Tribolium castaneum: one gene and its partner. The protein of the gene in region 1 purifies or fractionates together with the protein of each later gene. This does not show direct contact. Links are inferred from orthologs where the notes say so. Each region holds a gene or a part of one and is shown in the gene's direction. Other genes may lie near its edges.

Evidence for each region. The genes of interacting proteins can lie anywhere in the genome.
Region 2: the proteins of crb (region 1) and patj homolog purify together in Drosophila melanogaster (affinity purification with western blotting; 7 studies listed by BioGRID, with this or other methods). This does not show direct contact. The link is inferred for Tribolium castaneum from reciprocal best matches to the Drosophila melanogaster genes crb and Patj.

Annotation. Positions count from the first base shown.
Region 1 is NC_087397.1:9,939,333-9,944,140, forward strand, and holds part of crb (protein crumbs), read left to right. Parts: intron 1-602; coding exon 603-2,004; intron 2,005-2,053; coding exon 2,054-2,364; intron 2,365-4,522; coding exon 4,523-4,808.
Region 2 is NC_087403.1:1,763,652-1,768,976, reverse strand, and holds the start of patj homolog, read left to right. Parts: upstream 1-1,775; 5' UTR 1,776-1,909; coding exon 1,910-2,650; intron 2,651-4,890; coding exon 4,891-5,325. Other genes in the region: beta-arrestin-1, read left to right, coding at 2-145, 195-285. UniProt on the Drosophila melanogaster protein: Involved in cell polarity establishment. Probably participates in the assembly, positioning and maintenance of adherens junctions via its interaction with the SAC complex.

The DNA of each region.
Region 1 (4,808 bases):
AGTTACTCAAAAAGAGTAAACAAAAAAATTGAGTATTACGTTTTCGACAAAAAAGTTATTTACGGCGTATTTTTCTTTTATTTTGCTCTAAAGGAGTATGATTTAATCTTCGGTTTCCAGAACGACTTATCGTTGGATAAATTTTATTAGTCAATTTATTATTTTTATTTATTTTTCCAAAACCTCATCGATTTGTCACCGCCTCATGAGTGAATTTTAATTGCTAGCCAATTACTCGTTTTATTCTGCACTGTCCTGAAGATTAAAATTAATTTTTAAGGGAAACATGAAAAAATAAAACAAAAATTAGAATTTTGTGCTTGTTTTCATCTTTTTAACGCTAAAAATACGATGAAGATAAAAAAAGCATTAAGAAAGAAAGTGTAAATTAAATTTTCCTCAAAAGGGACTTCAATTTCACCGATTTAGGCCCTAAAGACATTCAAAGATGCAAGCGAGCAAGAGAAGTAATTTGACATAAACATTAAATACAGAGATCGTTTTTGTACGAAGCTTACAATTTTGTTTAATACACATTTTTCGTGTTTTCTTATAAATTTTGTGGACCATATCTGTACAACCTCACATTTTTTTAATTATAGTCATCTCCATGTCTGAACGGCGCCGAATGCATCGACGGCCTCAACAGCTACACCTGCAACTGCACCGACACCGGCTACACCGGCACCCACTGCGAGACAAACATCAACGATTGCATAGGCGACCCTTGCGAAAACGGCGCTTCCTGCGAGGACAAAGTCAAGGACTACGATTGCCACTGCTATGCCGGTTATTCTGGCAAAAACTGCGAAATCGACATCAACGAATGCGACAGCAATCCGTGCAAACACAACGGCACATGTTACGAACACTCGAACCAAACCCTCTACCAACTCTCTGACCAAACCCTCCCCGAAATTTTCTCGGCGGAATTTAGCTACGACAAAGCCGCCGGTTACGAATGCCTGTGCGTTGACGGCGTCACAGGCGAAAATTGCGAAATCGACATCAACGAATGCGAAAGCAATCCGTGCTTTGAAGGCACTTGTGTGGATAAAATCGGGGGGTTTGCCTGCACGTGTGATGAGGGTTTCGAGGGCGAGAGGTGCGATATAGACATCAATGAATGCGAACGGTTCAAACCGTGCGTTTACGGGAAATGTTGGGATAGGAGAGCGTCGTATTATTGCGAATGTGACGCGAATTACGGCGGGAAAAACTGTTCGGTTGGATTAACAGGCTGTGATACCAACCCGTGTTTGAACTCCGGGACGTGCAAACCGTATTTAATCGACGAAAACATCCACAGGTTCAATTGTTCGTGCCCTCATGGCTATTACGGACAAGTTTGCGAAAAAATCACCACGATGTCGCTATCGGGGAAGTCCCTAATTATTGTAAACACGTCACGGGAGGAAGGCTATGACATCCAGTTCCGTTTCAAGACAACACTGGGCGATGGATTATTGGCTTTGGGCAAAGGCTTGACTTATTACATTCTTGAATTATCCCGAGGGCGCCTAAACTTGCACTCAAGCCTGTTGAATAAGTGGGAGGGTGTTTTCATCGGATCGAACTTAAACGACAGTCAATGGCAACGCGTTTTCGTTGCGATTAACTCAACTCATCTTGTTTTATCAGCGAACGACGAACAAACAATTTATCCGATCAGTTTTAACGAAATATCAAATGGCACCACCTATACCAGTTTCCCCTTGACATACATTGGGGGGATCCCAAGCAATTTGAAAAAACTCACCCATGGTAAAACCTACTTGGTTGGTTGTACCGAAGACGTGCTCATCAACGGCGAATGGATTTTGCCACCAAGCTCAAGCCCACACACAAATCCCGCGTTCACTTTTCAAGAAGTGGAGCCAAGTTGTAAGAGACAGCCGCAGTGTAATCCGAACCCGTGTCATTCAGGGGGGCACTGTACCGATCTCTGGGTCAATTTTAAGTGTACTTGTGGACGGCCCTACTTGGGGGACACTTGCCAATACAGTACGGAATTTATTTCGAGTCTGACGCAAATTTTACGATTTGGTTTTAGATTATACAGCTGCGACTTTTGGTTATGAAAATATAACCGATTCTTTGGTTACGGTTTACGTGGACAGTGCTGCAAGACGGGCTGTTCGTACCATAGTCGATATTAGCATGTTTATAAGGACGAGGCAACCAAAAGGACAGATTTTTTATCTAGGGTCCTTGCCAAGGACTATGAATCCGTCGGAGGAGACGTACATTGCAGCACAGTTGGAAGGGGGCGAATTGTTGGTCAGGATACAGTTTAATGGTACTCCAGAGGCTTATACTGTAGGCGGTGTGAAGTTGGATAATGGATACGACCATTTAATTGAGGTTGGTTTTTTATTTTTGTGCTTTCAAAATTCAATTTCAGTATTCTCAATTTAAAACCCTTGTTTTCATATTTTTGCTAGTTTTGGTTATTTTGATAAGTTTATAAATAGTAATGTCCTAATGAAAATTATTCTACTAGAATAAAAAAATAGACTTCATCTTTTTTTTAAGTTTTTCGAATAAACGCCAGAGGCGGATTAAATTCCTTTCAGAAAAAAAGAATTTTTGAGAAAAAAAACAGTCAAAAAATTTATAACAAACAATATGTACGAATAGTTAATAACAAAAATAAACGTTTTAAGAAAAATGAAATTAATAAAAGAAATTAAAATAAATTGAGTGCAAAAAAGCGTCTATTTAAATTTTCTTCTTGACTTCTTTTTAACATATTCATAAATAATTACACAGTTACTTGTTGTGGAGTTGACTGATAATAGTAACATTTATGTCTGATTTAGTTTTATTATTTTACACTTAATTTATGTAGTATACCAAGTTGTTTCATCAATCATCTCGTCGGATTTTAGAGATTTCGCTTAGTGGATTTTTTTTATTCTATTAAAATTTTGAATTTTTATAATTTTACTTATTTTTTTATTGAATTTGTCAGTCATTTACTCAAAATAACACTTTCAAAATCTAGACGAAATTAACTCAGAGCAGGTGAATTAATTTTATTCACAGTTCATCGTCTGCTGTTAGTTTAATTTGAGTATGATTTAAATAATTAATGGGATAGCAGACAAGGTGCAGTTTGTTTTGTTGTTTTTTTATTACCACCAACTTTTTTTGGGTTTTTTCTAATTATTTATTGCCTTGAAGAAGTCCCAAAAAGTGGCGAAACGTTTGTAGTAGTAAATAAATCAACAAAATAAACTGCACCTGGTCTGCTATCCCAATAAAAATTAATTAAATGATACTCAACTCAAATTAAAGGTTAATTTATTGTAGTTATAAAAAATGTTGGCCCTGTCGTCTCTTTCTTATTGATACCGTGGTTCAGTTTTGTCCATCATATTATTAAATAATTTTATCATGTATTTTAACACTGGAATTTTTTTTTTCAATGAATGTATTTGAAGACTACAGGGAAAAAACAAGAAATGTCATTTTATCAAAAATTTGAATTAATAATCTGGTTGGAAAAATTTAAAACTATTAACTGCTGTGTTCATTCAAAGGAAAAACTGAGAAAATTAGTTATGCAAGATTTTTGAATAGCAATAATATTTCGTGGAAATTATTGAAACATAAAAGTTAGTGCTAAAAACAAAAAATAAGTTGAACCAAAAAAACTTGCTTTTTTCAGAATTTTCTTATTTAAGTAGATATACAGGGGATTCCAAGTTTTACTTAGATCTAAAAATACATACATCCTACTTTTTTGGCTAAGAACAATTTGAATGAAAATACGCTTCCATTTAATAATTTTTAACCAAACTTTTACTATTTTTAAAATGAGAGCTCTGAAATGAAATCTTAATGTTTTATTAGAATTAGTCTTCGAAACCTACTTAACTGAGGATATCAAAGAAATTTTGTCTAGTGGTGAATTTTGAATCATAATGCTTCAAGTATTTAGGATTTGCATGGATTTTTCCACAAAAATGCCATTTATTAGTTTAAATTGTTAGCTTATTTGAATTTTTTATGTATACAATCTACCCGAGTATGACTTATAGGCACATAAAATTTGAACAATAAAGTCTCAAAAATAAACTTTAATATAAAAATAAAAATATAAAAATAACTACATGAGAAGATCTAATCACAGGTTCAAATTATCTTTAACCAGAGTGTTGTTTTCTCAGAGCTGTTGTAAGATGTTATATACTTAGTTGATCAAATAAAGTTAAAGATTCATTTACTCAAAATCTACCAAATTTTCCACTACCAACATTATATAGATTAAATTCATAATTCTTCTTTTAAAAACAGAAGGATTTTATTTTTTACGTGAAAGCGATTGGAATAATTTTGAAATTATTTTTCCCAAATTTGTTTTTCACGTTTCGCTGCTCTGCAGTATAAATTCAACATCAAATTGAAGTGTGTTAAAAGTTTAGTTTTTACGCAATTAGAAGTTTTTTTTTGCGGAAAAATTTGCGCTTAATACACCTGTGATAAGTGCACGATTTTAGTGTCCTTTTTTTCGTAGGTCATCAGAAACGTCACTTTAGTGCAAGTAAAACTAAATGGAACTGAATATTTCCGCAAGACAATTTCAGCAACGGGTACCCTCGATGCTCAAGTCCTCTTTCTCGGGGGACCCCCACAAACCCGACCGGTGCGCCAAGCCAACGACAACTTAGTCAAAATCGATACAATTTCCCCAACTTCTTCAGCCGTAATAGCAACTCCTTTAAGCAACGTCCACTTCAAGGGAATCATCCAAGACGTTCAAATAAGCAACGGATCGTCGGTCATGATCGTCGAATTCTTCC
Region 2 (5,325 bases), on another chromosome or scaffold:
GGGACTTAGTAGCCGAACTTCCTTTTATTTTAATGCACCCCAAACCTGAGGAAGAAACACCACCTCCGACTTCCGGCTCGCGTCGTTCTAGCAAAGATGTGGGGGCCGATGTTCCGGTCGACGCCAATTTGATCCAGCTGGACGCGTATGTGTCTCGCTTGCGTTGCTTTTTGTCGTTACTTTGCTTGATTTAGGGACGAAAATAATTTGCAAGATCACGACGACGACATTATTTTCGAAGATTTCGCTCGGCTTCGATTAAAAGGAGGTGAGACTGACGCATGAAAGAAGGTACAGGCTCAGGCTATGCAGCCTGCCCGTCCATTCCAACCCATACGTACTGATGTGTATATCAGCTGCGATTAGGTGTGAACCCATGATCCAAGTGTGTGCCCTAGTCATCGGCTGTGCTGCCAGTCACAACCAGAATGCACCCATTTATCTCAGGGCAGGGGTTTTTGACGTACTTTTGCATTTTGGGCACTCGTAGTTTTATTGCTTTGAAGTTTTATTTCAAATGGAATACTAGTCAAGTGTTTGAGTGCCGCGATTAAAAGCCCCTGCGCTCAACTTACTTTCTTCAACCTCTGTAAAATAAAACCAAATCTTGCTTATCTGAAAATCAAACTTCAGTTCTTATGATTTTTTAACCTTCTGTACCTAGAGAGTGAATTCTATACCTATTATCAGAAGCGCAGAGTCTTGGCTAAGCGATTAGTTGGCGTTTTGTACGTTTGCATTCATTTAGTGGTGTTAGTGTTTTAAAATTGTGCACAATTCAACTGGCTGTATTTATTTCCTTTGTAAATAATGTTTCCGTTTTCGTCTGTCTCTCGCTCTTATAATGGGTGTAAAAGTTTAAATTACTCGCAGAAAATAATAAAGTAACGCTACATACTAATTTTACAATTAAATGATAACTTTGTACTGAATTTAATTAATAAGTATTTTGTATTACTTTTTTAAAGCACTTTTATACTCAAATATAAAGTACTGACTATCGGTTGTAGTCATAAATATGTAAAAGGCTGATAACAGATTAATATATTTTTGTGTCAGAGTTGGATTGGATGAATGATCAGCGCGGTTATGATTACAACCGTAGATTTTTTGGGTAGTTAGTTAAGTGCTACTGTTACCTAAATGCAGTTCAACACAAACGTTTTTAGGGTTAATGTTCGTAAAAATGTATGTATGTTCCTCTCTTTCTGTATACACAAGCTTTCTTCAAAATTATTTATGTGCTATCTTTGCTGTTTTGTATGTTGTCTTAGCATTTGATCGAACTCATGCATTTATTTGAACGCCATAAGGAGAAAATATTTATCACTACGCAAGAACATTGTTTCGTGCATAAGCATATTAGATGATTTGCTACAAAAACAGTATTTGTAACCACTTGTGATACTTTAATTTTACGCTCAATTCGACTATTACAGATTTATTTCTAACCATATCAGTGTAACAATGTATTTTTTCACACACGTTGTGCCTTGTGATAAATGTATTTTCTTCACATTAGTAAATCATCGTTCTTTTTCTGACCATCATGAAATGTGACCGCAAACTGTCTGTTCTATCTATACATGTCCTTATTTTTGTTACTTTCGGTGGAAAATTGATTTTCGAAGTATACTAGAGTTGCATTTTTCGTTCTTTAAGTTCATGTAATATTCTGTAAAATAATTGTGTATACTAAGTAAATAAAATAAATTAGGAGTAAAAAAAACATCTTTTATTGCTTGACCTTGTACTTCGCCAGTCCAGTGGTTTTGTCGGTGTTGGTACTGCTGGAAAGTGACAGCTGACGTTTCGTTTTGTTTTTCAAGTAAAGGGTGCAAAGTTGAGGGTGTGTTCGTGTACTTAGATTTTATTTTCCTTTTACTAATTTTACTTAAAACAAGAAATAATGCATTTGAATGCCGATATTTCGAGTGCTTTACAACTACTAGAAGACATAAAACAGACAGTGGACGAGTTGAGCGATCCGAAACTTCAAGTAAACACATATCAGGACCTATGTTTATTAATCTCCGTTTTGGAAAACCCCGTCTTTCGGAGCGTAGTCACCGTGCAAGACTCCCTAAGCGAACTGAACCAGCAACTGGGCGAGCATCCCTCTATTTTGCCCGTAGATTTCGACATCACAGCATCTGGCGAGTTGGTGCTGAACGTGCCCCCTTCCGGGGAGCTGTACGACCCTGACTATGCCGACGACTACCAGCCGGCTCGCGACTTCGACGAGCAGCGCGTGCCCTCGGCCCCCATCTCGCCCGGCTCGCCCCACGTGCATCCCTTCAACACCACTGACAATAAGATGATACTCCTTAACAGCAAAACGCTAAACGGTAACATTTGCAACCAGGAGACGCTGCGCCTCCTGCAGAACAACCAGGCTTTCGGGGCCGGCGACGACGACGTCATCCACAGGTCCCCCTCGATAGGGAGCGACGCCTCCAAAACGGGCTCCGACAGCCTGCTCAGCAGCGAATGGTCGCAGGTCGAGAGCATTGATCTCATCAATGATGGCACGGGGCTAGGCTTCGGCATCGTGGGGATGAGGAATATGGGGGTTGTCGTCAAGACCATACTGCCAGGGGGAGTGGCCGACAGGGACGGACGGCTCCAGAGCGGGGACCACATTCTGCAGGTGGGGCCAACAAACACATCGGCTGTTTTTTACACTCACTGAACCACCAATCGCGAGTTTAACTTTTCTTGTTATTTTGAGTAAGAAAGAAATTCCGTTAAAAACATTTTTTTACAACAAGCGGGAATTGCTGTGCAATTAAATTTAAACGTTTGGACAGCTTCTTATAGCAAGGACGTTTTTTATGTAAACTTTTTTCAGTGAACTTTAAAAAAGCCCACGTACGATCAATTACACTGATTTTAATTAATTATAGTATCTTTTTATATTTCGGCTGTTGCGAAGAGATCTAATACAGTTTTGGTTGAAATTTTTTGCAATTTTTGGGCTGGTTCCGTTGACACATTGATTTACAGTCATTCTTTGCTTGAACTAGTTTGGAATTGGTTCAAATCGCACCATTTTCGCCAAAAACAACGTCTTTTGTGCATGTTTCACTGAAATACGATTTCTCGCTTAAAAAGGAGCCAAATCGGTTGGGATTTAGTCAAATGGCTTCATTTGAGACGAAAACTACGCTTTGCACTGATATTCTCTGTTATTTACAATCGCTTTAAAATTATTAAATTGCTTTAGAACGCCTTATTTTGGCAATAGTTTTCTAATATGTGTAGTAACGTTTTTTTCTTATAATATAAAGAAAATATACTATAAAAAGGCTCCGATTTGATGTAAAATTGTACCTAACCCATAAAAAGAAAAAAATAAAGAAAAACTTCAGACAAATAATAAACCTACATACAAGTAAGTATTCATTTTATATTTAAAAAAAATTACTTGAGATAAAAGTATTGTAAAGATCATTTTCCCAAGCTTGTCAGATTGTTACATACATATTTTTTACGCTATTTTCGATTATTTCAAGCGTTTTAGCTCGTTTTTGAACCAGAAACTTAGCCCATGAGAGAAACAAGCTGCCAAGTTTTTAAAAGAAAAAATATATAACATGAATTATGGATAAATAAAAGGAATAAGGAAATTTGAAAAGGGACCAAAACGACATAAATAAATTTATACGTCTACATATTTATTTTGATTTTTTTGTTCTGTGCCTAGTTACATGATTCAGCCATTTCTGAGTGATTTAGCTCAATCTTGGGCCAGAAATTTTTACTTAACTCGGTTATTTTCTCAACCCATTTCTAGCTCGTAAATAAATTATTATTATTTGCTATGATAATCTTCTAAATAGATTATTTAGAAAGCTTTATTCCCTGATGAATGTCTAAACATGTTGAAATATTCACACACTCACTTTTTAAATTATTCGAAAAAGTAGATTTATTTTAATGTGAACTTGTGTAAAATGATTTTGAAAATCGATTGACGTCAAGAAAATTCCAAATTTTCAATAATTGGCAAATTATATATTTTTAAATTTTGCTTTTGTTTGTATTTTTTCAAAAACTATTAATCCATAAGAAAAAATGGCCCTTAGACTGCTTCATTGAATTATTATGCAGAAACTGTACGTGATGGATTTTTTTTTAATATTTTTACAGTAAGCTGAAAATCCAAATAAATCGCTATTTGCGCTCAGACAATTTTTCCTCGCAGATTTGTGTTATTTTTGTAGAAACTGGGAGCGCACGTGCTGAACGCACAAATGAATGGCCATTGACGATACGAACACCTGATACTTTTTTGCGAGAGACGTATAATCGCTGTTTTTCCTCCAAAAAACTTTCGAGTTTAACACCATTCAAACAAATTGTTTGCATTGATATCTTCGCTACCAAAAAACTTTCAAGTTCAACGTACAAGATAAATAATTTTCATTCACGTTTACGGTGCCGGAAAAAACTCTCAAACTCGACATTCAAAACAAATTATTTTCAGCGATATTTCTGAAGGGGACAAAATGAAATAAGCGCTTAGTTACGTACATACTTTTAACTTTTTCTTGAGCCGGCTCACGCTCTACTTTTTTTAACGTATTTTCGTCGTATCTTACAGATTTGTTAGCCGAATTGCGAGCAAATTGCGTTATTTCGGCTAATCCTGTCAAGGGGAAAAGGAAATGTGACGTAGATATTCGTTTTTGTTGTTTGCTTTTTATTATCCACTTATGTGATTTTAGCCAATTAGCTCTGTCTTGAGCCTGGAATAGATATTTGAAGAAATTTCGTCGAATTATACCAATGACAAACGATTTAGCTATATTTGCACGTTTTTTGCACCAAAAGCCTTCACATCATTGAAAAAAGTTGTGGGGAAATGGAAAATGTGTTTGTTTTCAGATTGGTGATGTGAATCTGCACGAGATGGGTTCTGAGCAAGTGGCGACTGTTTTACGACAATCTGGGACCCACGTGCGTCTCGTGGTTGCAAGACCGGTTGATATTAGTTCTCCCGAATATAAGTATTTAGGATCTTCAGCTCCGCTTGTGCCTACGCGACTTTTAAGCGATTCGGTTGAGTTAGATCGTTATTTGATTCAGCACAAATATCCGCCAATCTTCCACAAAGGTATGGATCAAATAACGGATCTGTATCAATTCGAGCAGTCAAAGAGTTATACGGGATTATCGCGCGTGCCAGCGTCTCCATCCTTGCCGCTTTTGAACCTGGATATGGCGGTGAAAATGCCGGAAATGGAGAAGTTCGTTGTGGAATTGAAGAAGGACGTGAAGGGGTTGGGGATAACCATCGCGGGCTACGTATGCGAGAAGGAG